2 linked regions of the Mus musculus genome follow. The main gene of each other region encodes a partner of the protein of the gene in region 2 in a complex. Links are inferred from orthologs where the notes say so. Each region holds a gene or a part of one and is shown on either strand. Other genes may lie near its edges. The genes, in order: Abi1 and Cyfip1.

What was found.
Region 1: Cyfip1 (region 2) and Abi1 share a complex: the UniProt entries of both Homo sapiens proteins name them as parts of the WAVE2 complex. The link is inferred for Mus musculus from reciprocal best matches to the Homo sapiens genes CYFIP1 and ABI1.

Annotation. Positions count from the first base shown.
Region 1 is NC_000068.7:22,939,329-22,955,474, forward strand, and holds the end of Abi1 (abl interactor 1), read right to left. Parts: intron 14,284-16,146; coding exon 14,107-14,283; intron 10,943-14,106; coding exon 10,856-10,942; intron 7,434-10,855; coding exon 7,248-7,433; intron 2,720-7,247; coding exon 2,544-2,719; 3' UTR 745-2,543; downstream 1-744. Other genes in the region: Pdss1 (decaprenyl-diphosphate synthase subunit 1), read left to right, coding at 495-635. UniProt on the Homo sapiens protein: May act in negative regulation of cell growth and transformation by interacting with nonreceptor tyrosine kinases ABL1 and/or ABL2. May play a role in regulation of EGF-induced Erk pathway activation. Involved in cytoskeletal reorganization and EGFR signaling.
Region 2 is NC_000073.6:55,835,154-55,851,975, reverse strand, and holds the start of Cyfip1 (cytoplasmic FMR1-interacting protein 1), read right to left. Parts: upstream 9,906-16,822; 5' UTR 9,669-9,905; intron 1-9,668. UniProt on the Homo sapiens protein: Component of the CYFIP1-EIF4E-FMR1 complex which binds to the mRNA cap and mediates translational repression. In the CYFIP1-EIF4E-FMR1 complex this subunit is an adapter between EIF4E and FMR1.

The sequences.
Region 1 (16,146 bases), on a different chromosome or scaffold from region 2:
GGCGCACACCTTTGATCCCAGCACTCGGGGGGGGGGGGGGGGGGGGCAGAGGCAGGCAGATTTCTGAGTTTGAGGCCAGCCTGGTCTACAACAGAGTTAACGTTCCAGGACAGCCAGGGCTACACAGAGAAACCCTGTCTCAAAACAAAACAAACAAACAAAGAAAAACCTGGCATTTTCATTGTAAGCCTTTTAGATTTTCATTTTAAAACAGGATTTTATATAGACAGAACTTCTTCAGTGAAAACAAACAAACAGAAAATAGCTGGGTGCATGACAGAGTTGATTTCTTTGTGTGCTAATAGAACTAGAATGTTTCCATGTGAGAAAAGTTGTAGATGAAAGCAACAGCCACTTGGTGGGAAGGGAACTTCAAGACATAGTCTGATTATTATCTGTCCAGCTCATCTGATCTCAAACTGTGTCCTTCTCTTGTGGCAGCAATTCAGGAGCTGATCAGGGCAGTGATCTGTCTGTTTTGTTGTTTCCTATAGAGTGATGGCGTGCAGCAAACAACCTACCTCGCCCAGCAGTACTGCCACAAAGCTGTGAGAGAGATCAGGAAGCTTAGACCATCTACAGAAAGGGACGCCCTCATTCAGCTTTCAGAAAGTGTGCTCACCAGAGATAAATGACAATTCCTCCTCTTCTTTCTGGCAGCTATTTTACCAGACTGTGCCTAATGATTTTGTGAAACACTATTTGCTTCATGTGCAGAAAACCAAAAATCATTTTAAGAAATAATTTCAACCTTATTGATGGGCAATTTTTATTGGCAAAGTTTTTCGGAAAACTTTTTAAATGTAATTAAACCAGTGTCATTATAGTCCTATAAATTCTAATCGAGGTATCCTGATGGTTATATGTGGTATTGTTTACACTGTTAATGCCCACATGTAAAGCCATTACACAAATAAATAATCAACGTTAAAATTCAAGTGGTTTGTCTTTGTTTCACCATAGGATTAAAGGTCAGAGAATTTTGAAGTCTGTACTATTTAAATCCACATTAGTTATACTTTAACAATATCCAAATTTTTCATATAGGAGCATAGTTTATTATAAAAGACTAGATAAAATTTAGACAACAGGTTATTTACAAATGAAGAAAACATTTTGCTTCAAAAAGGAAATGCATAATAAAAAGCTATCTGATTGCTAATGACATAGTACTTCAAAAATAACAAAGGTTAAAATATATATGGAATCATTGATTTGGTAGGAACAATGGTCTTTAATTTTCAGAAATATTTTGCACTGCTCTCATCACTATGCTGTCATAAATCTGCAACCCTCAGTACATAGAAACCCACACTTGTGTGATCTACTTTAATATCCTAAGCAGTACAGTCTTATATACAAGAGAAGTATCCCTCACACCCTCCCTTGAATCAAGGAGACACACAAAGTGCATGTGTTGCATCAAAGTTACAATACAAACCTGCTTATTACCTGTTTACAGATTAATACATGGCCTAGTTTCTTTCAAAATTATTGTAAAATTTTATGTTTCTAGTGCCAGGGAATGGATTAAATATGCCTATCCACAAATGAACTGCATCCATCTTTACAATATGTAAAGGATTTTCCTTTCACTGAGTCAATGTAAATTCAGTTTCATTAAAATCCAAAGGACCGGTGTGGCACTCCTCCTTCAGATGTTGCCCCCAGAATATCATGTGCTTACTCTGACACAGTCTAGCTCCAAAATCTGCAAAATTCTGTCACATTGACTGTTTGGACACATTAAGATTAAGCTAAAAATATTTTCAAAACTGATGCATTGAGAAAATAGAACCATAATTCTGCAATAAATCTTTCTTAAAGGGGTGGGAGGGTGTGCATGCATATGCACTAGCATACATAATTAAAGCAAACCAGTAAAGGAGAGGCCAAAATCCTTTGGTTCACTTATGTATTTATGAATGGAAAAATTTATAATGCAAATTTCACTCATTAAAAAACTTAGATACAAATTACAACATTACAGATAGTCTTTCATTTCACATGGAGAGCTTAGGAGACTCAAGTATGAGTACTCCAGATAATCGTTACACAAATTGGAAGCATCTTGAATTGTTAAGTATATTTCAATACATAAAAATTTATGCATGCTTTAAACACAGTATTTTTTTAAAAATGAGAATTGAAACCAAAAGTATGACCAGCACCAGCATTGACGTTTTCTGTTTTTTCCTATTAGTCTGACACAATGTTAGTGACCATGCTGCACTGAAACATGTAATGGTGCATTCTGAACCATGATTTGTTAAACATAATACCCAATCCCCAGAAGTTTTAGGCTGGTCATAAACTTAGCAAGGTGTGAGTACATATGCATAATCAATTATAGGCATATAAACTGCTGCTCAGCAATGTTTGAACTGCCTCCAAAATTTATGCTTACAGGTAGACATCCAAATATACCAATAAAACATGTCCTTGAAAATATGGGCACATTTTAAACATTAAAACAATTCTGTTAACCATATAATCCCACAGTATGACGGAGTAATAACCTACATGAAAAGAAAAAAGAAAAACTAATCAGTATAGTGCATGATTGATTCAACATAGTTCCCAGGGAAGAGTCCAGTCACTCGATTGCAAACTCCTTCAAACCAGCCATCATCATTCTTCTTTATAACATAGATGATTGCACCCTCTTTAAAGGACAGCTCATCATCCTTGTCTTTTGTATAATCATATATTGCAACAACTGTGGAGGAAACAAAGTATAACATGAGAATACTATCTTGAACATTTACTTTTAAAATGTAATGCCAATTAATTAGTTTAGAAAAACTAAGTATTTTTAGTGGGAATTTATTTATTTATTCACTTCTTTATTTTTGGTCTATTTATTTATTCACTTATTTATTTTTGGTCTTTCTAGGCAGAGTTTCTCTGTGTAAAAAGCCTTGGCTGTCCTGGAGACCAGGCTGGCCTCAAACTCACAGAGATCCACCTGCCTCTGCCTCCCAAGTGCTAGGATTAAAGGTACAGCTGCTGCCTCCGCCCAGATGGACTTAATTTTTCTATCGGTATAAGTAAATGGTCAATCAAGTCCCTAAATCACTTACCCGACATATTGACCACATTGACAATATGGCCACACGAAAGAAGACACTGGGTTCCTACTAAATTCTCTTTAAGAAACACCTGAGGGTGAGTGAGATAACTCAGCTTGAAAACAAGTGCCAAGCATGAAGGTCTGAATTTGAGCCCTAGAGTCCTACACGGTAGAAGAGGCAGCTAACAGCTGTCTCTAATCTTCACACACACAGTGGCATATGTCCTTCCACATTAAACAAATGGAGTAATAATAATTTTTAAATCTCTGAATTTAGGTGGTTTTAGATTTATTTTTGGTTTTCTGATCTCACTATTTAGCTCAGAGTGGTCTCAGACCAGAGCACTACTGGCTTACACTCCCACAGAACCAGGCATTATGTCAGTATTTCTATTCATTCAGACAAATATATGTGGAGTATCTAAGCAAACTGCCAGGTTACTAATGTATTATGAACAAAGCCATTCAGTAAACTAAATAACAACTCAAGCTGTCTTAATTTGACCATATCACACATTTACTGGGTAATAAATCTATATATTCAAAATCCCATGTTAATTGATAAACTCAGATTTTAAAATAGAAAAAAAAAATTCTGCTCATTTTAAAAGTTTTGTTTTAAAAGTTGGCAAAAGTAAAGGAAGCCCCAGAAAGTGTGACGAAGTTGGAGATCTTCTTCCTTTCTGGTTAACATACTCTATCTTTCCATTTTGTAAGCAGGGAAAACAACTTAGATGCTGTCCTGGCTGGTGTTGTGTCAACTAGACACAGCTGGAGTTATCACAGAGAAAGGAGCTTCAGTTGAGGAAATGCCTCCACAAGATCCAGTTGTGGGGCATTTTCTCAATTAGTCATCAAGGGGAGAGGGACCATTGTGGGTGGTGCCATCCCTGGGCCCTATAAGAAAGCAAGCTGAGCAGGGCAGGGGAGTGGTGGTTCACGCCTTTAATCCCAGGACTTGGGAGGCAGAGGCAGGTGGATTTCTGAGTTCGAGGCCAGCCTGGTCTACTGAGTGAGTTCCAGGACAGCCAGGGCTACACAGAGAAACCCCTGTCTGGAAAAAACAAAAAACAAAAAACCAAAAAAACAAACCAAAACAAAAAAAAAAAACAACAAAAAGAAAGCAAGCCAGGGGAAGCAAGCCAATAAAGAACATCCCTCCATGGGCTCTGCATCCCTACCTGCTTCCAGACCTGCTTCCAGTCCTGACTTCCTTTGGTGATCAACAGCAATGTGGAAGTGTAAGCTGAATAAACCCGTTCCTCCCCAACTTGCTTCTTTGTTATGATGTTTGTGACTAAGACAGATGCATACTACTTTAACTATTGATTTGTAAATGTAAATATTCCCGCTAAACCCATTTTTTTATATTTCTAAAGTTACATGTAATTTTCTACTATATGTGACTAATATATGAATGATTTTATTTTTCATTTATTCTTAACAGTATTTTTCTTAAAATACAAATCTTTAAAACATTTATGATGGTCCAGAATTATTTTCTTCCCTAAGAAAGATGGCTTGCCTCATTAGTAACTCTAACTTGGTGAACTAGAGATTTGAAGTACTGATTGATTACCACCATTTATTAAGTTAACCAGGTAGTCTTTTCTCATTCCAATACACTGTAGTATATGAATTCAACAAGCCCATTTCCTTCCATTTTAGCTCTGCAACAAAAATCACAGTATGGTGATTATGATCTCCATAGTTTATCGAAGCTTTAAAATATACTGAAAAAATATAATTAAATACTATCAAAGTCAGCTTCCAAACGCTGACACCATTGCATACACTAGCAAGATTTTGCTGAAAGGACCCAGATATAGCTGTCTCTTGTGAGACTATGCTGGGGCCTAGCAAACACAGAAGTGGATGCTCACAGTCAGCTATTGGATGGATCACAGGGCTCCCAATGGAGGAGCTAGAGAAAGTACCCAAGGAGCTAAAGGGATCTGCAACCCTATAGGTGGAACAACGTTATGAACTAAGCAGTACCCCGAAGCTCTTGACTCTAGCTGAATATGTATCAAAAGATGGCCTAGTAGGCCATCACTGGAAAGAGAGGCCCATTGGACTTGCAAACTTTATATGCCCCAGTACAGGGGAACCCCAGGTCCAAAAAGTGGGAGTGGGTGGGTAGGGGAGTGGGGGGGTGGGTATGGGGGACTTTTGGGATAGCATTGGAAACGTAAATGAGGAAAATACCTAATAAAAAATTTTAAAAAAAGATAACTAGCAAAAAGGATCAAGTGATTGCAAAAGATCAATTATTAAGAAAAGCTCCATAGGTAATTTAACTTCGGTAATACTCTGGTATCTAGAGTCACAGGGTGATGAGATTCAGTCTTGTAGACTAACAAAAGCCTAAAGCATTCATATCTTTGAGCAGAATAAAAAACTACTTCAAGTTCTTAGTTCCTCTAATGCAAACAGCTCAGAAAAGTACTAAAACACATTGTGTTTGCTTTCTAGGTTTCCTTTGTAAGTGTAAGGGTCTCATGTCAATGTACACACTCCCTCATGTAATTTCTCTCACCACTATTTACCATTAATAACTTGATGTTGATTCTATTATTCAAACTCTCCCTTTTATATCTACTGTGAAGGCTTTCTGGGATTTGTCTATTAGTTTAATACAGAGACCAGTATCACATCGGCATATATTAGGTTAAAGATACAGTATCAATAAGAACAAGGCTTTTGAAATAGTCATGTCATAAACTTATTAGCCAAGTTAAACAGGTTTCATTATCTTGTCATCATGAAAGTGGTTATTAAAACTTCTAAATGTAAGCATACTGGTTTACTTGACACAATCTAGAAACATATCTGGGAGGAAGGAATATGAATTGAAAAAAATGTCTCAGTAAGATTGGCCTGTAAATCTGTAATGCATTTCTTGATTGATGTGAGAGGCCTCAGCCCATTCTGGATGGTGCCACTCCCAGGTCTTGGATGCAACTCAAAAGAAAAACAAACAACAAACCAGGCTGATCAAGCTAAGAGAAGCAACATTCCTCTACAGCTTGTAGGTTTCTGCCCTGACTTCTATTACAAGCTGTATGAAGTAAGACCTTTCTTCCCCAGGTTGATTTCAGTCATGTTGTTTTACCATAACAACAGCACCCTTAAGTATGACAATAATCCTACTAGATCTTGTCTGCCCATGGCAGAAGGCTGAGAAAAATCACTCCACACACCAGGCTAATGTAAAATTTGCAATAATCCTCCTGCCTCTGCCTCCTGGGTGCTGTGATTTCAGGTATATGATAAATCCTGCTAAATTAACTTGATTTACACACACACACACACACACACACACACACACACACACACACACACACAGACACACACCCCAATGGCATATCTAACCCATCACCATTCCTTCTTTATATTTATGTATTTTAAATTTTATTTTCTGTGATGAGTATTTTGTCTGTATATCTATATCTGAACCACAGGCATGCCTGGTGCCAGAAGTCAAACACAAGAGTTCATCAGTTCTCCTAGAACTATAGTAATAGATGGGTGTGTGTTGTGTAGGTGCTGGAAACTGAACCTGTAAGAAATGCCCTTAACTCTAAACCATTTCTCCATCTCTCCACTACCAATTTGTGTAAATAAAGTTTTACTGAACACACTACATCTACATCTACATCTACACACACACACACACACACATATAAACTTTGAGCTACAAACCTGTTGAGTCAATATAGCAAGCAAAATCTAAATCTAAACTATACCCAGTCTTGAGAAAAAAAAAAGGAGACAAGAGGGAGAGGGAAAGGAGAGGGGAGGGGCAAGGTAAGATGTGGGGACAGAGGGAACGTTTAAAATCATCACTAAGATCATAAATAACTGTTAAGTCATTTAGCTCAATTTTGTGCCTTAAATGTTTGATCTATAAAACACAGGCAAGCAAGTTAATCTGAAGCTAGAAGCATACATGGTTTGAAAAGATGCATCTAACAATTTAAATTCAAAGTATAAAGAAATAGTCTCCTTTTCATACTCCTGAAAAACACAAAGTATACATAGTAAGAGCTACCACCTTGACTGGTAAGACAGTTACAGGTAAGAAACACTGGCTGAGACATTTTTTAAAACAGTAATAAAACTCTAATTAGGTTACTGTACTTTACATCAACCCATGAAAATAGTACCTCACCTTTCTCAATATAGTTCTTGGGAGCCCATGCAGGGTCCCCATCTGCATATGGGTCACTATACTGAACTACTGCAGCTTCCTCATCTTCATAGTCCACAGGAGGAGGTGGCGGAGGAGGCGGAGAGTCATCAAACATGGGAATGTCATCTGGTGGAGGGGGTGGTGGTGGAGTTGGGCTATCAGCAACTAAAAGGATTCAGAAAGTAATGAGTCTAAAGGAACAATTTTAAATTAACAGAATTTAACAATTCTAACTCATATAGCATGCACTATATAAAACATGCAGTGATTAGAAGTAAAAGCTGGGTGTGTTAAAGTTTATACTACTTTTAATTTTAAGCACAATTTTTGCAACAATAAAATGAGATAAAATAAGCATATAAATACTACATTAATGAATGTAAGAGGATACAGTATCTTCTTTCATTAGAATTACAGGAGTAAAGAAGTTTCTTTATCCTAAGTCTCAAGTGAAAACAAATGCTCCCCTTGCTCGGCCTTGTTGCCCGAGGGGACTCTGTCATGGAATACCCCTAAGTTTCTTATAGTAGAGGTCTGACAGTTTTTACGATGTATATAGTCAGGCCTGCAATTTTGGCTTTTGGTAGCTTTAGTGCCCTAGAAACTACATCACAAGTGGACCTATCTTTTATTTGTTGTTTTAATAAAGAGTAAAGCCAAGTTGGTCATATCATGTTTAAATGTTTTGTGTAGGGTTTTGTTTGTTTGTTTTCTGTTTTTACTTACGTTTTAACAAACATAAAAAATAATTCCAAATGAGAAGACTGCATGGAGTATCTTTAAACAAATTAGTTATATTCACAGTCAAAATTTAATGAAGAAAGGAAACTAAGATTTTGCATTATGGCTAATAAAACAATGCATGAAATGATACCAGATCCAAAAGATCCAATTTCTAACTTAAAACACAATTAAGATTTAAACATAAAATACTGAAGATGCAGTAATTTTAAAAGAAATAAAAATAAACAAACAAAAATGAAACACACTTCAGATTCTAGATGGCTGGGGTATGTGTACACATGCATTAAAGAACTGAAGGTGTTAACAGGAAAATGGGTGTGTGGGACTAGAACTGTACTTATTTGGCCACCAATGCGGCTGGGATTAAAACATTCAAAGCTAACACAACTAATGCTCAAACTTCTACTCCACAAATTCCTTTAAAAGTTTAGGGGAGAGGAGAAAAATCAGGGAAGGTAGTGCATGCCTTTATTTCCAGCACTTGGGAGGCAGAAGCTCAGGGAATCTCTGAGTTCAAGGCAAGTCTGGTCTACACAGCTAATTCTAGGCCATCCACAGCTACACAAAGAGAACCTTGTCTTTTAGGTGAGAGGAAGAAAAAAGGAAAGGTTCTTGTATTAACTGTTGTAGGTTTTATAGGTTATTGTTCCTGACTGAGGACAGTAAGTTGAGATCTAAGCAAGAGGCTAGTTTAAAGCAAGCAGAAAACAGTCCTGCTTCATTTCTGCTTCAATTCTGTGCTTTCTAGTTTAATCCTTGAGATGATAAAGACAATAAAAAATAAATTCTACTTGGTGATGCTCACTCACAACAATCTAACAGGTCTACAGTTAGATTGTCTACTACATGCACTGATCCACGAAACATCTGCCTATACCTACACCTCCTCCATAAAGCTTGTTTATGTGGAAGAGTGGCTATGAACAGGCCGAGCACACACCCTAAATTGGCTTAATGTGTATAGTACATGTTTGTTTGATTCCCTGAAGAGCTGTCACTCTTCATTTCTACAACATACTGGTTGAAGATTCCATTCAACTGCCATTAAGTATACATTGGTTTATCTTCAATTTTATGGCAAAAATCTGATCAACCCAATTTTCTGCCCTAGTACTTTACCTAACACTATGCATATTTAGTCCAAAAGCCTATCTGATGTTAAATAATAAAAGGCATGAGTCATTAGGGGCTCATATCTTAAACCAGACTGGGTTACAGCTACATGCATTTATTGTCACTTCCTCTGAGTATCAGAACACTGGCATTTAAAAAGCACATAAAATATGTACACTTGATAAAATATTTAAAGTGCTGATACACAATTTCTTAATTTCAACTTGCTTAGAAAAACTTGAAAATAAACTTGGAATAGCAGTGGTGTAAGAATAATGAATTTGAGCCGGGCGTGGTGGCGCACGCCTTTAATCCCAGCACTCGGGAGGCAGAGGCAGGCAGATTTCTGAGTTCGAGGCCAGCCTGGTCTACAGAGTGAGTTCCAGGACAGTCAGGGCTATACAGAGAAACCCTGTCTCCAAAAAGCCAAAAAGCCAAAAAAAAAAAAAAAAAAAAGAGCTCAATATCATGTGTTTCATGTGTTTGGTAAAAAGAACAGAAATAGTTGTGTCAAGGTGTCTCTTTGGGAATAATGAATAAGAACACTGGGTTTTGTTTCCAGTTATCAGTTAGCCAATGATCTCTAGGCCCACAAAGTTGATTTTTCAATGGCTATTAAACTTATTTCCTAGAACTCTTCATGATGAAGCAGTGTAAAAATATTGACTGGTATAATCTTCCACCTCTGACAGGTTTAGTTTCTAAACCGTATCAGCATCACGAAACGACAATATCTCTGGGCATGATAAACCCACCTGCCATCCCAGCTATCAGGAGGCTGAGGCAGAAGGGCTGAAAGGCCAGCTTAGTGAAACAGGAGATCTGCTCCAAAACCCAGGAACTGAGAATGTCATTCATTTAACTCAGACTTAGAGCAGCTCAACTAACATGTACAAGGCCTTGGGTATTGCTTAGAACATCAAAACTTAAGAAACTGAAGTTAATAGTAAGAGGGTTTGCACTCAGAAATTTCAAAACTCTAAATCCACATTTGCAATAAGCTCTCATGAAGAGACTGTCTTAAACTTTTTGTTTGTATTCTTACCAGAACCTATCATATAACACTGCATAACAATATTTGATTGGTGGAAGGGAGGGACTGAGAGAAGCATTATAAGAGTCAGTAAACGTTGACAAAGAATTTGCAAAAAATTTACTGTACTGAGGATGGGCTGCTTAAGTAGTAGCTCATTTCTAAAACAATTCTGAAATGTATTTCTAAGAAGATTCCAAATGAAGTAAAATGGAACTAAATACTATCTTAATTTCAATGACTGACATTTAATTATTCAGCAATTGTACTTTTCGTTTGCCATACAGTATTCACTCAGGACACATAGAATCTTCCGTAATGTCAAAGGTAATTAGGATTACAGGCATGCACCACCATACCCAGCTGCAAAGTGTTTTCTAATTGTCCTAGTAACTATTATTTCAACATAATTTGCCTTCTTGGGCTTACTCTTTGCTTAAAAATATACAATAGATCTCATAGCTTAGATCATCTAAATACTTAAGCAAACTGCAGCTTTGAAATTGATATGGGTCAGTAATCATGCAGACAAGAGAAAAGAACAGAAGCCCGTGCTCTTCCGTTTCAGTAACACATAACTGTACCTACTCTTCAAGGTAAGATTAGCTTCTCAGTAAGAAGGAAAATGGTGACTCAGCAGCCATGCATGCTAGAGGAGACAGCCTCTAATCTCTGACGGCTGTGTTCCCAGACTTACTGTTTTCCTGCACCCTGGCCACGAAGCCTGTGAGAGGGATCTGTGGAGTCAACTGAGGCATGGGGGGAGGAGGAGGGGCAACAGAAACTGGCAGCAAGACACAGTATGGGGAGTAAAACAGATAAAGAAAAGGAAACAAACAAAAAGCAGAAGTCAGTTACAAGGACCACAAACATAAATAAGTATGCCAAGAACAGTCTGCAAATGAAAACAAACAAAACAAAAACAAACAAACAAACCCTGCTACCCTCTTCAAGTTTTTGTCCCCACAGAACCTAAGGCCACACTGTGCTCAGCCATAGGATAAGTGCATAAAATAATAAATATACTTACTTTTAACCTAGCATTACATTATTTGGGGAACTTTTTAATTTACTGTAACATTTATTTTAGCACAATGCTTTTCAAAGAAAAACTTCTAAAATATGTTACACTTAAACATCTACAGAGCCTGCCAACAAACTGTTTTGCTTTAAGTCTATAAACTAACAGACCTGTCTAGCTGTTAAACATTATTTGGTTTTTAAAACCAAATAATGTTTAACAGCTGTTGATTACATGTATAAATATGTAGATAAATCAATGCATTAATCATGAGTTACCTTTGAAGAAAGTGCTTATATATCTAAATTTACATACTTCTCTGGATAATATTTTCTTACAAAAGTAAGATTTGTTACTTTTTAAATTGCCAGCTTTATTTGTAAGAAATCAGCCCTGAACTTACTAAGGGACAAGAGTGTTCCATGTACCTAATAGTTAATCATTCAGTCTCTGAGGGGAAGTTATCAAATATGGTCTTTTTATGGATACTGAAAAAGGAAACTTAATCTCTCTAATCAGTCAAAATGTATAATTATTTGTACTATATTCATTTCTGATTAATATAATGCAGCCAGATACTGGCTGGCTTGAAGCATGTGTAACCTTTTTCAGGAGATACTTTATAAGAAATTGGTATCAAATGTTCCTATGACTAACAAATATATGAAAGATTGCCACAAACTAGAAGCAAAGATATGTTTACTTTGTCTCTTTAACAAGACAGTAATTGCTGAAGATCCAACAAGTCAATGGGTTCAAGTGGAAAGATCGGTTTCCCAGTGGTCACCACTAAGTGATGTTACATTATCCAAGAAAAACAACTTTATTGGTCCCTAATATTTATCATTTTAATCCAAGGTACAAATGTGTTGGTAAGCATAAAAATGTGATAGACGTTCCAAGTTAAAAGTTAGAGAAATATATATGTGCTGATAGTTCATACAGATCTAAAAACAGCATTCCATTTACTAGCAGAAACTGGTTTTCATTCTGTTACAGAGAACACTTGTTAAATGGTTAGAGTATTGATTTTAAAACAAAAAAGCCTCCCATTAGTCAAAATAGTTTCAAGAAAGAGCCCTTAGTGACTAGCCATGCTCGTTAGCTGTGGGAGAAGAGACAGGAGGTTACTATGAAGATGCTCATCACCAGCACATATAAGGAGAGGAAGCGGCACATCACAGCACTAAACACAGCCACGTACCAGTAACCTGCACCAGCAGCTCAGACTGAAGGGGAAATGGATAAAACAAAACATGCTTTACACCCCAGGCTAAGTTTCCTTTCCAGTTTCAAAAAGAATACTGATATTTACTAAGGAAGTATCCCACAAACATGTGTGAAACTAGACAAGTGTAGATTGGTGAAATTAAAAACCCTATTTGCAGAATAAATTTAAAGACAAAGTGGGGGAGGGAAGATAATGATCATAAAGATGGGATGGAAAAAGCAGAATATGAAAAGAAAGTTCAGACACTAGTGGAATAAACAACTAATTTGTCTTGATTGTATATGCCATTAATTCTAGGATTCAGGAGGCAGAAGTAGGTAGATCTCTACATTCAAAGCCAGCCTGAACGCCATACTGCGTTCCAGAACGACCTATCTCCACAAAACAGAACAACCACCACCACCTAAACGACTGAGTTACAGAGCATTCAGACACTGAGGCTATCACTCAATATCAACAAAGGGGGATGTGAAGTAAAATAGCAGGCAAGAGTTTATTATTTCATAGTAGCCTGAATTCTGGAAATTCAGGTCTGGAAAAAAAGCTGTATAAAATCTGAGGTTCTCTGTAAATATAGACATTTAAGACAAAATGGTTTTCAATTTGCTATAACTCAGTTACCCTCTAACTCAAAATTTTAAACAAAAGACCATTAGCCTCTACTTAAGTTAGGCATAGTGGTGCTTGCCTATCATCCCAAAAAGAAGGAGGGCTGCAAGTTCAAGGCCAGTATGACTTAAGCAGTGCCAGGCCAGTTACTTAGAGCACTAACTTTCAAAGCTATTTCAAGGCTACAAAGTATGGCCTTGTCTTTTAAAAAAAACAAACAAACAAGCAAAAACCAAAAATATGCACGTAATATGAATACAAATAAAAGAGCCAAGCAAATCCCATGTAATGCAGAGTAGTCACCATTATTTTTATAGAACATTCAGTTCTAGAAATACTTAAAATGAAGCTGCCATAGAAAAACCTGTCAGCCACACCCAGTAACTTCACGACAAAAACAAATACTGGACAACAGGCTTATTTCAAACTATTTTTGTTCTGAATTTAGTATCTTAACATGGAAAGTGAACTCAATGATTATCCTCAGATATTCAAGCCTTTCCTTTCTAACTCTATTTTCTGTAAAAGGTTTTAAACACTGGCTGTAATTAGTACTGAGATGTGTATTTTGAAGTAAACAAAGGGAAATCAAAAGAAAATCCCTCCCACCTGTTAGAATTATTCAGAAAGAGAAAGTAAGCAGGCATTGTAAATGTTTTCATTTGAAAGCATTTCAAAAGAGGTCACAACCTTAGAAGTGATAGCCAGCAATTTCTTTTCATTAAATTCTTTAAAAAGTTCTTTGGCTGTGTTTGTGTCTTCGTACCATTACTGAACCATCAAAATCATGCTGATAAAATTTAAGATTGTTTTGTTCTCTAGTTCAAATTATACTGTAGTAATACTAATAATAGCACATTAAAATATTTGTTGAATTTGGTAGATTAAGTATACTTGAGTGAACCCTGGAGAATAAATAAGCAGTAATATTTAAGATGGTTATTCAAGGATTAACATTCAAAGCAAAAACAAGCATGAAATAGCATGGCTTAAATTGTTGTCTATCACAGTCAAGAATAACAGTTTCAAATAATTTCCTTTAAAAAGGAGCTCCACTATTGCTGTATGCCTGCAAACACAAGCTTACTTGAATTTTGAGAATAAAGTGGACCTCCATTAACATGAGGCTGAGCAGAGAATTGGGCGGCCACAGAAGGAGTTCGTCTATATCCACCAGAAGATGTCGAAGAAGTGGTAGAGTTGTGTCGAGAAATCTGCCTGGTCATTGTGCCATACTGGGAACCAGGAGCTGCGCCAGGGGCTGCTGAAAAGCATTAGTCAAAGGCAACCAAGAAAGCATTACAAACACCCCAAGTGACAGGACAGAGGGGAGGGGGTTCTTATTTTTTTTGGAATGCCCAGACATAAAATAAAAAAAGAAGATGAAAATCAAATTATCTCCACTTCTAAAGTATATAAACAAGAAGACAGCTAGTGCAAAGAGCTACAAAAGTGACCATTTGAGCATTGCTAATCCTTTGCAATAAGCATAGTCCTGAATGCTATTTTGCTAATGCTATATGTAATTTACATGTGCATTTCAGAATGTTCACTAGACAATGCGCGAGAACAACTACTCTGGTATGGTAAGTAACCCAGGGATAATCTGAAATATATGAAAAGGAATATATGTGTAAGTTGTCTGCAAGTACTACACCATTTGATTAAGGAACTTGAGTTATCTAAGGATTTTGTATCTATTGGAGGTGGGGTGTACAAGAATCAATCACCTGAGGGGATGAAGGACAAGTGTATAAAGCTTTTGTATGTACACTGGCTCCAACAAAATGAGTACCACACACAGTCTGAGTAAGGCACTAGCTGTTAGCTGTGGGTCATTCATGACTGCTTTATAAACAGCTTCCTCTTCACAGCCAAGTTTCGGAATTTGATTTAAAATTCTATCTGGCTAAAAAGCTCAGGATAAGTAATAAAGTAAACAATAAAATTTAAACTGCTAAGTATATTTTTCTGATTTTTATAACTGTTAGTAATTACTGTTATTAATTATTTAGGTTGTATTTAGGTACTATTCTAACACTAAGAACTATCACTCCTTCTGAATGAACACTGCTAAGTATAGTCCCTGAATTTCCCTACGCTTCAGCACTGATGAAAATCTCCCCTTGAGAGCTTGTTGTAATGGAAATTTATGGGTTCCATTTTCGGAGATTTTTAACAAAGTAGATCTAGGATGAGTTCTGAAACTGAAATTTCTACCTAATTCCTCTACGTTAATAACCAATTTGGGACTATTGCTCTGAAAGTTAGTGCTCTAAGTAAGCAGTTAGCAAACATTTTTTTCTTTAAGTCGACTCTTAAAAACTAAAAATTAGGTGTCCCTGGAGTGGGTTACACCTACATGAAATGACCATATTCAAACTGACACAGCTTTAAGGTGAATTTATATACAAGTACACAAAGACTTCACGGAGCCTCTAGAAAAAAAAATTCTGACAGAATGAGGATGAAAAAGACATGTAATAGCTTTGACCTCACAAACTTAACAGAGAGTTTTCTGAGAAATAATGTTCTGATGTTAGTACCTAAGACTGACACTGAAAGATGCTGTTTACCTTGATTAGTAAGCAAAAGGGGTTTTGGTAAAGGGAGCAAGCATATCAACAAACACCAGCAGTATAGCACCAGTTCCACACACCCCAACAAGGTGAGCTGTCTGTCTGCATTTTTACTTATCCACTGTGGCTTCAACAATCATCTTCCAGGCTCACAGACTTTCTTTCAGTGATTTCTATATCCATGGGATTTTGTATTATCTCCTTCCCTCTCCTTTTCCTCAGTATACATAAATGTTTTGAAAAATAATCTAGGGCTGGTGAGATGGCTCAGCAGGTAAGAGCACCCGACTGCTCTTCTGAAGGTCTGGAGTTCAAATCCCAGCAACCACATGGTGGCTCACAACCATCTGTAACAAGATCTGTCTCCTTCTTCTGGAGTGTCTGAAGATAGCTACAGTGTACTTACATATAATAAATAAATATTAAAAAAAATAATCTAAAAATATTTTCAGTTTAATTTCATCTAAATTAATTCTCATAAGAGACACCTCATTATTTATCTTAAGTTCTGTGTACTTCTAAACTGAATGTAAATTTGGGTGTGGGAG
Region 2 (16,822 bases):
GACAAGTGCCATTGAGGATGTAGTGAAACAACCCGTGTTTACAGCTGATGGCAATACCCAACCGTTAGAGGCACTACCCTATTCTGTTTACTACAAGAGACACTTGCACATCCATCCTTACTGCACCTCTTTTCAAAACACCCAGGGAAAAGAATTAGCCCAGATATCACCCATTCTCAGAGTAAAAGATAACAAAAACAGGCCACATATACACATTGGAATCTTATTCAGCCATTAAAAAATAAAATTGCAAAATCTGCAGCAAAGTGGAGCTGCAAATTCCTTTCTTGTTCCTTGAGAATTTCATATAAGGGGTTTTTATTACATTCACTTCCAACCCACCCACTAGGTTTCACCCTCACCTCCTTGCCCTGCCTCTAGCTTTCTTGTTTTGTTTGTTTGTTTTTTAAATAACACACAGTCTTGAGCCTCAGCTCCCCACATGCTCTTGGGGGTGGGGTCATCCACTGGAACGTGATCAACATACCTTACAGCAAATGACTTTCCCCCAGAATCCACTAACCATCCACAACTCCTCAGGTACGAGTATAGGCTGATTGGCTGGCTTACCCTTGGGCAGGCTTTGGGCAGACAACCACGGTTACTATGAACAACTGAAAATCCTTAGATTAAGTTAGGTAACCCAGGCTCAGAAACACAAATACCACATGATCTCTCACGTACGGATATCCTAGCTTCTAAAGGCTATACGTGTGCCCAGGCTATGGTGGCACAAGCACATCTTTAACGCCAGCACTTGGGAGGAAGAGGCAGGTACATCATTGAGTTTGAGGCCAGCCTAGTTTACAAAGCAAGTTCCAGGAATGCCAAGGCTGCATAGAGAAACCGTGTCTTGGGGGTGCTAGAATGGGGGGAGTGTTTGTGTGGGGGGAAGAATAAGTGTGAGGAGAACCGAGAGAACTAGAAATGGGCCCAGGAGACAGTAGAAAAGAAGTGACCGGGTTGCTGAGAGCAACGACAGGACACATGAGCTACAGAAGAGGAAGAGGGGATGACTAGGGAAGATGTGTACAGCAAAAAAAGTGGGGCAGGGAAGTGGGGGTTCACAGCTTCTCATAGCTTGTATGTATAAGAGGTACAGTTTCTTCTCAGCTAGATTCCAGAAGACAAGCAACTTAAGTGTATCCCCACAAAAGGAACACTGACCTGATCTCTGTTGGAGACGGCAGTTCTCTAAAACATGTTATTAAAATACCAAGACTCACCCCTGTGACAACTATCTAGGAAGTTTATGGTCAAAGTCAAATTCTAGTCTAGACATAGCTATGATGATAATCTTTAAATGAGATAAATATTAAAGTCAGTCAACTTTAAGCAAAGCAGACTACCCCAACTTAGATGGATCTCATCCAATGAGCTAAAGGTCTTAAGAAAAAAAGAATGCTGACAGCCCTCAAGAAAGAGGGCATTTTGCTTCTGTGTGGTCTTTGGTTTCAGGTTGCACGCAGCATTTAAGTATTCTGTGCAGTTCCAGCTTAGACTGCTTTGCAGAATCTGGCCCTGCCAGTCTCCACAGCTGTGTGAAGCAACTCCCTAAAGTGGATCTCAGTGTTTCTGTCTGCCTCCCCCGGCCCACGTGTATACCCCATTTATTCTGTTTTTCTGGAGAACTCTAGTTATAACGCTGATTACCACCCCCGGCCCCGACTCCTGCAATCAGAGCAAACAATAACAGGCAAATGGGTCTGTACAAAATCCTTCTGAGTCTGGTGCGTGGGACGGAAACAAAGCTGAATTCCGACAGCCTCTGAGATTCAAGCACAGTCAAAGATCTCTGAAGGCAGCTGACCCCGGGGAGCCAAGAGGAGAAGTGGCTTTCGGCTCCCTGCTTCTGTAGAGGCTGCTGCATGGTTTGTGGGTGGTAAACAAAAGAACATGCTTTAGAATAGAAGAGCTCTAGGCTGGGGTGCAGCTTAGTGCTGCTGCAGCGCCAAGGCTCCGGGTATGTGATTCTGAGGCAGGACAGAAAGGCAGGTTGAATTACATACGGGTGCATAAGAACAGAGACCCTCACTCCAGAGTCACCAGCTGAAATTCAAGAATTCCAGCCCAATGCACATTTGCTGTGAAGGTTATGGAAATAGAGACAAGGCTTCCTTTATGTTAGAATAGCAGCTAACCGGGCTTAATGTGTATGACCTTCAACAGAGGTTCTAAATCCATTCATCTTGCTAGGACAAACACAATGGCAAAAAACAACTCAGGGAAGAAAATGCTTATCTGGCTTACAATTCCAGCTTACAGTCCATTGCTTCAGGGGGATCAAGTGAAGAACGGAAAGCTTCACATGGACAGTCAAGCACAGAGACAGAATAAACGCATGGACCCTTGCTCACTTGCTCTCCGTCAGATTTCTCTGTCTACGTCTTTCCTGCATAGGGAATGGTGCCACTCATAATAGGCTAGGTCTTCCAGCATCAATTGGCAGTTGATGTCATCCTCTATAGACCTGCCTGCTGCTTGATCCAGACACTCTCTCACTGTAACTCCATTTCTCAGGTGGCTCCCTCCAGGTTAGTCAAGTTGACAAACCAACCAGCACAGTAAAGCCTCACTCCTGTCCTGGATATTGCCTGGGAATCACACCAAAAAAAAAAAAAAAAAAAAAAAAAAAGACTATTAATTTTGTTTACAGTACAGATATCCTAACTCTCTGTATGTCGTGTGGCTATTGTAAAGGCAACTAAGCATGTCTCTCTTAACTCTTGCACTAAACATCCATGTAAAAATTTTCTTTTGGGCTGAAGAGATGGCTCAGTGGTTAAGTGGTTTGACTGCTCTTCCAAAGGTCCTGAGTTCAAATCCCAGCAACCACATGGTGGCTCACAACCATCCATAATGAGATCTGGTATCCTCTTTAGGTGGGTCTGAAGACAGCTACAGTGTACTTAATAATAATAATAATAATAATAATAATAATAATAATAATAAATCTTTTAATAAATTACAACATCTGCTTCATGCTGGCCAGTCTCGATATTTTGGCAAAGAACTGGTTTTACCTGAGTCAAGAGTCCCCAAATATTAAGGGGATTCAGTGTGGACCTGTGCCTTAACTTGTGTTCCCACTGACAATTCTTCAAACAAAAGTCTTCTTTCATTGAGTGGCTTGAAGAAGAAATCCGATATTCTTGCCAGCTGTGTTAGCCAGGACAAGGTTACAAGCAACCACATTCAGGAGTGGAAACCACTGCTTTCTGACTATCAGTTTTTCTTCTCTGTGGAACAAAATCCCTGCATGAGCTTGGGGAATACAAAGTAAAGAACTTGACAAGTTTGGCCAGGAGAATGGATGTGGTGTGAATACAAACCACAGGCATTGTGGATTCAGGGTCATTATAGCTATCATTGTCCATCTGTTTCATTCATAACTAAAACCTTTGGGAGCCGAAGTTCAATGTCCACCATTTCTGCCGTCACTGCCAGGCTTGAAGAAGCAAGCATATTAACATTGGCTGGGGAGCAACGAGGAAGAACTATTAGTTTCTGCAGGGCTCACCCACCCCCTGCTCCCTGCCACCTTCCCAGAAGCTGAAGGACAACATGGTTTCTTTGGGACCATCTGCTCAGAAGCTGTTAATGAAAATCTTTTAAAAATATTACAGATACAAATGTTGTGTTTAAAGTATTCTGGAAGCCTTCCATTAGATACTTTGTAACCTGTGTTACAAAGGCTACTGGTAGCCATCAGTTCTCCAGATAAACAGAACAAATAGTAAAATAGCTTAAAAAAATCATAATAATACCTAATTTTCATTACATGTAAATAGACAAGGTATTCAAATTGAAAGGCAGAGATATTCAAAATGGTTTTAAAAAATTCAAAGGAGCCATGAGAAACACATTTTAAAGACACTAAGGAAGTGAAACAAAAGAATGGAAAAAGATACACCAAACAAGCATGGTGCAAAAAGCCTTTAATCTCGGACTCAGGAGGCAGAAGAAAAGAAGCAAGTGGATCTCCATGAGTTCAAAGCCAGACTGGTCTACATAGTAAGTGCCAGGCCAGCCAAGATTACATAGTAAGACCCTGTCAGAAGAATGCAAAGATACAAAATGAAAAGCAAAACCCAAAAATAATGGCAATGACTAGCCTGATACAGAAAAAGGAACTTGAAAATAAAAAAAATTATTACTAAAAGAAACATAGCCAGACATTGTGGCACTTGCTGGGCACCCCATCATTCAGAAGGCAAGAAGATGACTGTGTGTCTGAGACCATCCTGGACTGCATAATGATACCAGACTAGCCAGGGCCTTGGCAGGGTAGGAATGAGAAGGCACTATGAAAGTCAATCACAATCCAGCACTGTGACATAACAGTTTCAAGCATACAGGTACCTTACAACCCAGTCAACACATGCAGCTACAGGTGACAAGGAGAAAAATCCTTGCTTGTGTAAAGCAGTTATTAAAAGAATTCTCAACAAAGTTGCACGATGTAAAACATTATAAAAGAAAATAGCATGCAAACAATTATTACTGAACTATCTGGCTCCTAAATCGTAAACCAATCTAATAACTCTTTTTTTATAACCTGTATATATTCTAGAAGAATGGAACCCTAATTTATCCCTAGCAGTTGCTACTAAGTGAAACAGATCAAAAACCTTGTTTGAGACAGACACTGAGGGTGATGGGGACTGAGAGGTTAGCTAAAGCCAGGAAGGTACCCTGCTGTAATACTGATTCAACAGATGACTGAGGGTCCAACATTTAGAGGACAGTATTTTGTACCTTTTCTTCTAATTTTTTTAAACTGGCAAATTTAAGGACCTAATGATTGAACTCAACACCTGGCTTTCCATCTAATCTTGGACTATTTCATCTGTCCATGCTTCACCCACCCACCAAGTGTGGTAAATAACAGCTGCATCTATTTCAAGGACTGGGCAAATAATACGTGAACTGAGAAGTCAGCAAACTACAGGACGTTGTCTTTTTACATAAAGAATTTCCCTGGCAGACAGCCACACCCACTCATTTTCCACGAGGCTCTAATGCTACAGCACATAAACAAGGCCCACAGAACGGAGACTATTCACAATCTGCACCTTTGCCAGAAAGGGAGCACTGGCTTACAAAGATGCACGAAACATGGGATGTCTTAAGAACGTGAGCACAATTTCCCTTCCCTGGTGGTTTGAACTGGAATGGTCCCCAGAGGCTCATCTATTTGAGCTCCCTCGTCTGACAGTGGCAGTACTTGAGAAGGATTAGAACAGTGGTTCTCAACCTTCCTAATGCTGCCACCCTTTAATAAAGTTCCTCATGCTGGGCTGACCCCCAGCTGTAATTTTTGCTACTGTTAAGAATCACAATGGAGAACTGGGCGTGGTGTCGCAAGCCTTTAGTCCCAGCACTTGGAGGCAGAGGCAGGCGGATTTCTGAGTTCGAGGCCAGCCTGGTCTACAGAGTGAGTTCCAGGATAGCCAGGGCTATACAGAGAAACCCTGTCTCAAAAAACCAAAAAAAAAAAAGAATCACAATGGAAATATTTCCAATGGTCTTAGGCAACCTTTGTGAAAGGCTCGTTCAGTCCCCAAAGGAACCTCAATGTACAGGCTGAGAAGTGCTGTATTTGAAGGATTAGGAAGTGCCACATTGCTGGAGGAAATGTGTCACAGGGGCTTTTGAGATTTCAAAAGCCTATGCCAGGCCTCTCTCCTCTCTCTCCCTCCCCCTCTCCATCTCTCTGGATCAGGATGTAGCTCTCAGCTACTGCTCCAGTGCCATGCCTACCACAATACTCCTGCCATGAGAATGAACTAAAATCTCTGACACTTGTAAGCAAGCCCTCAATTCAATGTTTTCCTTTATAAGAGTTGCCTTTGCCCAAGCGTCTCTTCACACCAATACAACGGTGAGTCACCTTCAGAGTGATGTCCTTGAGCATGTACTCAAGGATACTGACACAAGATCAACTGGAGTGTTGATAAATGTTAAAGCACAATATCAGGCGCTGAAGAGATGGCTCGGTGGTTAAGAACACTTGCTGCAGAGGACCCTGGTTCAATTCCAAACACCCTCATGGCAGCTCATTATCATCTACAACTCCAGTCCAGGGCATTTAATGTCATCTTCTGGCACCAGGTGCACATGTGGTGCACGGACACTCGTGTCAGAAAAATACCCAGAAGACCGATCAAATACATTATAACACACCCACACTAAAGACGACAGTTGTACACTGCCTATCAATGTTTTGGTCAGTTATCACAGCACTCCTAGAACTGTATGATGTAATTAACATCTGTACCTATTTTCATTTGTCTAATTAAACTCTGATGCAGGGATAGAATTGTGCAGATATACTTTAGCATATATCACTATAGTTTGAGCAACACATGACTGTATTATACAATCAATAGAAAGAATTATTGAACTCAGCCGGGTGTGGTGGCGCACGCCTTTGATCCCAGCATTCGGGAGGCAGAGGCAGGCAGATTTCTGAGTTCAAGGCCAGCCAGGGCTACACAGAGAAACCCTGTCTCGAAAAACCAAAAAACAAAACAACAACAACAAAAAAAACAAAACAAGAATTATTGAACTCTCTGTAAATAGAAACATTTAAGGAATTCCAGCTGAGCATCAATAAGTGAAAATATATAACACTTGGAATGCAATCGGTGTTACAGAAACTCCGATTCAAACAAAAGAGGCTAAAGTCGGGGCAGAATGCTTCAGTACACATACAGTTGTATATACTTCTGAACTATTTAAAAAATTGTTGAGGTGGTGTTTGTAAATTTTCTCACCTTTAAAAGTACTATTTCAGGCTAGGTTGTATCTTATTTCTGTAATGTCAGCACTCAAGGAGCTGAGATAGACAGGAAAGGTGGTGGTATCCACACCTCCAGTCTTAGCACTCAGAAGGTGGAGGCAGGAGAATCAGGGGTTCAAGCCCACCAGGACTTCGGGAGACCCAACCTCAAGCCCCTTCCCCTCCCTACACACAAAAAGGCTAATGTAGAGGCACCATGAATTCAAGGCTGTCTGGGCCATGGAATGAAACCCTGTCTCAAAACTCAGGAGGGGTAAAGATGGCTCTTCAATTAGGAGCTTTTCAGGAGAACCTATGCTGAGTTCCCAGCACCCACATGGAAGCTCACAATAGCCTATATCTCCTGGTCCAAGAGATCCAATGGCGTCTTCTAGTCTCTACAGACTTCTGATGAATGTGATGCACACAAACTCATGCAGGCCACAACAACCACACACTTGTCAAATACATATTTAAATTTGCTTTTTTTTGAAATGGTAAGATAAAGGGAAAGAGAGAAGAAAGAACGTTTTAGTCTTCCAGGTTGTATCCAGAACTACATTTTTTAAAAAAAAACACTTATTTATTATTTGTGTATGGAGTGTGTTCATAGGGAGAGAGAGTAAGTATTTCGGCACAAATCACTGTGTCCTTGTGGACGTCAGAGGACAATTTTCAGGAGTTAGTCCTTTCCTTCCACTGTGGGTTGTAACTCAAGTTGTCAGACCTGTCTGTCACCTATACCTACTGTGTGTCACCTATACCTGCTGTGTGCCACCTATGCTCACTGTGTGCCACCTATACCCACTGTATGCACCTATACTCCCTGCATGCCACCCCACCTTCCCAAGGCTCTACTTTTCAAAGCACTGACTTTACTTCTTACAGACATATTTGACTAGTGTTTTTGTAACCAAATAATATTATATATATATATATATATATATATATATATATATAAAATCATTAATTTTTCACTTTAATGGTGTTTGGCTGGTAAAACACCTTGGACGGCCTTAAATATAGCCACCCCCTCCCCAACACCCCCATACTTATTACTGAGAACATAGAACCATCTTAAATGCAGACTCCAAGATTGCCACAGGACTTTCTGGAGAAAGCAAAATAGCACTATGAAAAGATCAGCAGTTGCCAAGAGTTGATGGTATGAAAGACCTCACTACAAGGGACACAGGAAAGAAAATCTTGAGGTGATAGGAACCAGTTTGGCATCTTAATTACAGTGGCAGTCAACACTCCAAAGCATGAATATTACTATATGTAAAGTTAAAAACACGCTTAAGTGCCAGGGAGATGGCTCAGTGGATAGCCGTACAGGATTTCAGATCTCAGAACCCACATAAACGACAATGGGCATGGCAACCTCCCTCAAGTCCCATTGCTTCCAAGGCGGAGACAGGGGACCTCCGAAACAAACTGGCGAGCAAGACTAGTCCAATCAGTGAACTCTAAGTTCAGCTGAGAGACCTTGTATCAAAGAATAAGGTGGAAAACGCCAAATCAGCCTCGGGCCTCTACATGCACATACAAACACATTCACACACCTGTGCACCCACATCTAAAAACACACATACCACAAACACACACATACAGTGTTTATTCTTTAAAAAAACCTTAATACATACTTCCTCAAATACACAAATACTTAGAGGATGTATTTTCTTAGAGAGACTTTTCAACTGCAGCATTTTATCAAGGTTACAGGGAAGATGCTGTTAGGGGAAGAGGGAAAGAGAAGTATTCCCCGCAACATTCCTACTGAATTCTTACAATGCATGTCTGCAGTAACTTACATGTATTTAAAAACTGAATTAATTCTTTCAGGCTATGTGCTTGTAGGCTTTTTAATAAGAACCACTAACATACTCAGAACTAGGGGAAGGCTGGTATTCAGGTATACCACCGGTCTCGCGTGCTTCAACTTCCAGCCAGTGAACTTGGCCAGGGTCTAGGATCAATACCCCCACCTTGGCAAGCGCTGATCTCAGTATCAGTACCTGTAGGAGTACCCCAGTACCAGCGGTGCTTCAAACACGACTCAACTAAGCGATCTGTTAGCCGACAACCAAGAGAAATCTCTGGGCTCCCCCATGCAACACACGGATTGCCCGATGCTTCCCTCTGCCTCGCCCTCACCGATCCCCAGTTGCATATCTCTTCCTTCTTTTCTCACACTCACGAAATGTTACAAATTACGCAGATGCTTTAGGCTTAAAGTACAAAATTCGTTACGAATGTGCGGCGGCGCACTACTGCTCCTGAACAATCCCGTTTCCTTAACAAAGCCCAAAATGCCTCTCTCCAAGAATCTGAGGACGGCTTCCCTAGACCACACTCTCCTTCCTTTCCTCTGAAGGCAGAACCATGGTGGACTCGGGGTTGTTTTGCCACTTTAGTGCAACATAAACTATTCGTCGCTCCTTACTTTTCAATAGTAAAATACTAAATATTAACGTTGTCTCTTCCTCTTTGGAGCTAAACCTCGTGCCGGAAGCGCGAGATCTGGGATCCTAGTATCCAGGGTGAGTCGGGGCGGGGGTTCGGGGACGCGGGGGTCCGGGACGCGGGAGCCGGGCCACCGGAGTGCAAGTTGTGCAGCGCGGAGGGAACAGGGAATCTGCACTGGGAAGCCCGTGGCCGGGGGATTCTGGAATGTGATTCCGGGGAGGGAGCCCTGGAGCCGCCGAGCTGGGCCGGGAGTCCCGGGCTCCGGAGCTGCCGTGCAGAGACCGGGAGACTCGAGAGCCCAGGAGGCAATCCCGGGAGGCCGTGCGGTCCCGGAGGCTGCGCCGAGGCCGTCTGCAGGCTCGCCCCACCGGACTACAGTGGAGCAAGGACCCCGAGGCCAGGCGACCGCCCTTACCTGGTCTGCGCCGCCTTCGGTTGTCCAGGGCGGGCCCCGGGAGCTTTCCTACCCCAATGAGTCACTTGGGCGGGTCGGGAATGCACCAGGAAACACCCGGCCTCCTCCCCTTCCTCCGGGGCGGCGCTGCTCGGCTCGGCCTCTTCCTCCCGGCGCTCCTCCCTCCTCCCGCTGGCTGCCTTGGGTCCGGCTCCTCTAGGCCAGCCCGGTCGGCCCCCAAGTCTCCCCAAGTCTCCCGTACCGTAGCCCCGCCTGCCGCTTGCTGCTCAGGTCACCGCAGCAAAGGAAGCCGGGATTTGCTTGGTGGGCTCCACCCGTCAAGCCGGCTGGGAGAGGATGAAGACTCAGCGCCACACTGCCATGCTCACCAGCCTCAAGAGTTTTCCCTGATTTGGGGGACCTCTGTTGAAGCTAAGGCCAAATGAGGAAAGAATTCCAGGACTAGCCAGCATAGAGCTGGAAGTTTTACTAAAGATACTTTAAAAAAAATTTAAAAAAAAGGAATTCATTATGTGTATGAATGTTTGGCTTGCTTGTGTGTCTATGCACCACGAGAGTGCCTGGTGCCCGCAAAGGTCCAAAAAGGGCGTTGGATCCCCCAGCAATTGGGTGTGGGCCAGTGAGCCCATACATGGGCCATAGGAATTCAACATTCGTTTTCCTATAACTTGTCCTCAGTGATGGTGAGAAGCCTCAGTAAATCCATGAGTGATGGGCTTATCTTCCTCCGCATGTCCCCCAAATTTTCACTGCCTCCTGTCCTGCCTCTGGTTGAACTTCAAAAGAGATACAGAAGGTACAACCATGACAGAGAAGGGGCGCATGTATGTATTAAATGGTGGGTGCAAGGCTGGAGCGGCATGTAAAATGCTCCAGACCCAAGGAAGAACCCATTCTGGCCCCTAAAGTAACAGTGCTACCATCTCATCTGCCTTCTGAGGACTGGCAAACTCAAGTTCAGACTCCTAGGAATGGCTGACAACAGAAAACCTGACTTGAATTTGCCCTCCCTAAACCCGCAGAAAAGGAAGGGAAAAGTTAGTTAACATACATCTTAATGCTGAACTTAGTAGAATAGCTCCAAACTTCCTACCCTTCTTCACTCCGGACGCCCCTCCTTACTGCTAAGAATTTGGACATTTTGTTTGTCGTTGGGGTCTGACAGTAACTAATGTAACCCAGGCTAGCCTTGAACACCAGATCATGTCTCCATCCCTCAAGTGCTGAAATCACAGGCATTCACCAACATGCCTAACTCCCACACCAGTTTGTTTTCCCCAACTTAACAGAAATAAATCTTTACTAAGTAACTTTTAATATCAGAAAAATAAAACTCGTGTAATTGTATTTACAACAGACACACATCAGTGTTTTCACCATCTTAGGTTTACCACAAAATGTGAGATGTTAAACTTATTCAAAAGTATAATCCTTGTAGCTTCTCTACATATGCATAACAAGAGTATAATAAAAATTACAAAACCTAAACTATAATGATAATACAAATGTAACATGTTGATTCCTTGGCGCAGCAAAAATACAAAACGCATGCTTGACAATGTTCCCCTGCTTCCACAGAACTGTAATCTAGAGATTAAGATTCAATACTGGCATTTAACTATCCGACAAGCAATTTGAATTATATCATTATATGCTGTAGAGAGAATCTCAGTGTCACCTGTCACTAAAAATGCCTATGCCCAATGAGCTGAGGCAGCAAATAGGAGATGGGACACTGGCAAGAAGAGAGGAGATTCTGGGAAATAGTGAGAATATAAAAGGAACCCATAGGGAGGGACTGTGAAGGATTCAAGCAAGTCTCTGAGGGAGAGAAGCTGAGGAGACACAAAGGAAGAAGCAGGCTGGGACTGGAGGAGAGGTAACTAACAGTGTGTGAGACATAGAATAGTTTAAAGGGTTAGATAAGTTACAATCTAGTCAGGGACTGAGCCAATGCTCGTGGCCTAGGCATTTATTAAAAAGTTGTTAGTCTCACAGTGATCATTCTGGGAGCAGGGGCTGGGAGGAAAAACAGATTGATTTGTTTTTACAATATTTCATCAATGCAACTTTTTTTATACTAAAAAAAATAAAAATAAAAACCATTTGTGAGGGCTGGAGAGATGGCTCAGCGGTTGCTCTTCCAGAGGTCCTGAGTTCAATTCCCAGCAACCAGGTGGTGGCTGTAGTGGGATCCGATGCACTCTTCTGATGAGTGTCTGAAGACAGTTACAGTGTAAATAAATAAGTAAAAATAAACAAATCTTTTTTTAAAAAATTAAGAACTTTTAAATGAAATGGAATTTTTCAAGTGGAAATGAAGGTTAAAATTGACCTATTTATTATTGAATACACACGAGATTTAAATTTTTTTTGTGCTGAGAGAAAATAAAAGCTCTTTTGTGGGGAAAATAATTCTTCAAAATATAATTAGTAGAAAACCCACCAGTGTGTTTCAATGCCAGCAGATATGAGAACATACTAAAGGTGAAGTCCCACACACCCACAGGTGAAATGCACAAGTATATTTTAAAGAACTCTTTGCTTGTAACTGGAAATGGGTTTGAAATTATGTAAACTGACTAGAGATTGTCACAGCTGTTCCCATGATTTATGGCAAGTGCAACACTATCTCCCTCCCTTTCTCCTGTCTTAGTGAAGAATACAAATATATTTATAGCTAGGCAGTGATGGCACACGCCTTTAATCCCAGCACTTGCTAGGCAGAGGCAGGCAGATCTCTTGAGTTCGAGGCCAGCCTGGCCTACAGAATGAGTTCTAGGACAGCCATGTCAGTTACACAGAGAATCCCTGTCTCGGAAAAAACCAAACAAATTAAAGCATATATATATTGTATATATAAAACAAATTAAAGCAAATATATATGTATTATATACAAATATATAAGCAAATATATATTTATATATGTGTGTATGTATATGTATACATTTGCATATACCTATATACATATATATACATTGTACAAGAAAATATGGATTGAACGTAAGGTATTCCACGTGTTGATATGTAGTGTAAATATCAATTAATAACTTGATTAAATTAGTGAATGGAATGTTCACATCTTCAATTTTCAGGCAATATAGGTGCATCCAGAGCCCATACTGAAATGGAGGGACCCAAAGGGTCATTGCCACATCCACTAAGGGAGGAGTAGGAACTCACAGTCAATCAGCAGTATTTCTGATCCACCTTTGGTTAAATTCTCCATGAGACCAAGGTCAATGTAGCAGTTTCTGTCCCATTATAACCAGTGATCTAGTAAATGGACATGAACCCTGTAATGACCCACAAGTAATCAGAATGTCTCAAATAATTACCTGCAATCCTGCAGAACTGGGCATAAAGTGTTGTACTATAGAAACCAAATGAACCTGCTTTGTCCAAACCAGCAGTGTAAAGAAGGTAGCTCTGGATGTGTCAGCCATCTGTAACGTCAGGTATCAACTGTATCTCCTCTTAATATACCCTGAAGCAACCCATTGTCTGTAATTCCAGACTACACATTTGGTTTAGAGGTCTTTGTCCTGGTTATATTTATTCTTTGGTCAACTTGACACAAGCGAGGGTAATCTGGAAAGAGGGAACGTTATTGAGAAAGCACCTCTATCAGATTGCCTGTAGGCAAGTCCATGGGGTTATTCTTTTGATTAGTGATTGATGGGGGAGGCCCAACCATTATGATGGCTCCCCTCTAGACAGGTGGTCCTGGGTGCAGTGAAACAGCAAGCTAAACAAGCCATGAGGAGCAAGTCAGTAAGTGGAGTTATCCAGTCTCTGGTTCAGTTCCTGACACCAGATTCCTGCCTTCACTTCTCTCGATGGGCTATGACATGAAAGCCAAATAAACCCTTTCCTCCCCTGGTTGCCTGTGATCATGGCATTGATCAGAGAAAGCAAACAAAGGCAGTCACACTGCTTACCATCTTCACCTCGGCTTCAGCAATTCTTACACAAGCTATGTAAGGAGTCTACAGGATGGTATTAATAATTCAAATCAAATTAATAGACAAGAGGCTACTTAGGTGTAAGGAGCAGAGGAAGTCCTGAGTAATTAAAGTTGGGCCCGTGTATACAAAAACCAGCAATGGCAGTTTATTTCTTCAAAATCTTTACAGTCTGAGACGAATGCCTATAGAAATCTGGGGAAGAATAGCCAAATATTACGTGATGGACTCTTCCTGAGAAGATGCAACCTACATCTACTCATCCCAGATAGGGAGCCTATGCAGGCTTGTGTGTTTGCACAGTGGAGCCTCTAGATGATACTGCTTCAAAAGCACACGCACAAGAGTCTACACTGTAGACTCCACAGAATCATTACGAGGTGTAGCCTTGCTAGAAGAAATGTGTCCCTGGGGGTGGGCTCTGTGGTTATACCTGATCTCACTTCATGTTTTTCCTCTGCTCCCTGACTGTCTGGACAGCCTCATGGCTCTTGCTAGCATGCTACCACAGTGATGGACAGTATCCCCTCTACAACTACAAGCCTGTCTTGTATTTCAAACCACAATTGCAGTTGGGTACATGAAACATCACGGAAAAGGAAGAAATTCAAGATCCATCCCACCAAAGGAAAAAAATATTGGTGCGTGGAGGGTGGGCTGTTGCTATATATTGTGCTGCTAAATACTAGCCCCCAGGGTTTGGTTGCCCCAAGGGATGAGGAAATCCTCTGTATACCAAATGATGCGTTTTCCTCTAAGTTGCTTTGGTCATAGCATTTTATCACAGCAACAGAAAGTAACACAGAAATCGAGAGAGGTATGGCTTGCAATTAAAGTTGAAATCTATATAACAGATTTGGAGTATAATTTGCCCCTGTGGAGTTTAAACAAATTATCTTTCAGATTTCATTTCTGGTGTTGTAATGCCCATGGTGCAGGGACCCCAAAGACCACTGGTGAGCCAATTCCGAAGCAAACACGTAAGAGCCTTTATTATCGGCTCTTGCACAAGGACTCTCACCATCACTGTCACAGTGGGTCAGAAGTGAGAGTCCTGAGTTCTAGGGGTACAGGGTGTTTATTGTAGTTACAGTATGCTTTGGAAATTTCCATACAGTCAGCAAGTTAGTATTTTAAAAATTGCATTTCTGGTGTAATCTGCAGGAACCAAACATGGGCGCAAAACCATCCGAGGAACAGGGTGGGTAGGTTATCTATTTTCTGCAGGATGTCTTAGGTTGTCTATATGTATTTGACCCTGCTGTTGTAGTCTGACTGGCTTATGCTAAGGGGGGTGGTGTTGCCATAGGATGTTTGCTCAAGTGGTTTTTTGTGCACTCTCAGAAACGGAGTTGGTTGGACTTTATAGTGCAATCATGCTGCACCAATAGTGTAGTTTTGCTTTCTGGGGCGATTAGACCCATGTGTGTTGTGTTCCTCTTCTTCAAATTTGTCACACAACACTTGCTTATTGATACTTAAAAAGTTTTGATTTGTAATTATTGCTATAATATAGGCAAAACTGGAAATAATAAACTAATATCACCAATATTTAGTAATAATAAAATTACTAATATTACTAATATTGTTATACAAGATAGAATTTAAAGAAGCTCTCTGGTCCTCATATCAGAAAGAGTTTAATTCTGCCAGGCAGACAGGATGAACTTGGTTAAAAGCTATGGTAATATCTTACATTTTAAATATCACTATTTGTTTAAACAACCCAACTTTAGAATCCCTGTCTATGTGAAACTCATGCAGATGGATTTCTGCTTCCCTGTTGTGCATTAGCCAGGACCTGACATGCACTATTAGAGTTTTTTCCTTTATTAATCTCTAAGTGGTGGACTGACTTTTCACTGGGAAGGCATATTCTATTTCATATATAAAACCATACAATTTATGAATAATTCACTTATTTTCCAATCTGAATTTTTTTGTTGTGTATCATGTACCATTTCTGGTATAATACCGAATAGAAAAATCAGGTAGACATTTCTCTTATTTTCAACCCTAGGAATAAAACAGTCTTCCACATTTAGTTTTAAAAATCCTATTTTTTTAGTCCCTTAGATTGAATACTTTCCTACTTCTGGTGTTTTGGTAGCTTTTATAGGTACATGTAAACTTAATATTTCAGCAGCTAGTGGGGCTATCTACAGTGGTCTGGAAATGGTTTGAATATATTCTCCAAGGATTTATGTGTTTGATGATGAATGCCTAATCCTACTTTTCTTGAGTGTTGGGATTGTAGGCATATGCTGACAAGTCCAGTGTATCCTGTGGTCTATATCAAACCCAGGTCCTTGAGTATGCTAGGGAAATACTGTAGTGACTGAGTTACCTCCCACAATGCTCCAACAAGGTCTTTCCTTGGAGATTAGTTTACCTGTCTCTTTCTGGATGAGTTGTGTCTATAATGCTGTTTGGATCAGCACTTGTGATAGTTCCAAAGATGCTTCCACGTCTTTAAAGAGCTCCACTACGAGTACCAATTTTCTGTTCTTCTATATTAGTCAGTTTTGTTGTGGAGGCTGTAGTTCAGTTGTAGGATGTCTACCTAGCATGTGCAAGACCCTAGGTTCCATCCCCAGCAGTACCAAAAGGAAAACCATGCACACTTTAGTCACACAGTCGTTTGTATTACCATAATGGAAGGCTGAACTGAATTAACTCTTAAACAGGTTTTAGAACTTTAGCATCCAAGGCTAGAAATTCAAGATGAGAGAGCCCCAAATATTTGACCTCGGGTAAATAATAAGAGTATACCGAGAAGACAGTACATCTTGAAACAAGGTCAAAGGGAGTGATTTGGGCATATACTTAAAGAGCTTAAGGGTCTAATGAGTGCCACCTTGAGGGCAGCTGCTCTGTGATTTGGAAAATCCAGTTTTGTCTAAGCAGCAGCAAAGAAAAAAAAACTCTTAAGAGTAGAACACTTGTTGAATGAATTAACAGCAACACTGATCTTCAGAACTGGGAAAAGAACTCAAGGGGGTCTCAGAAATCTTTTTACAATATCTTATTTTTGTGTGTGTATGCCTATGAGTATATGCCTTATGTGTGTGGGTGGCCACAGAGGTCAGAGTCATCTGGTTTCTTGGACCTGGAGTTACAGGTGGTCGTGAGCGGTCTTTGTGAGTGCAGGGGCCCAAACCTGGGTCTTCTGGAGAGTTCCAAGTGCCC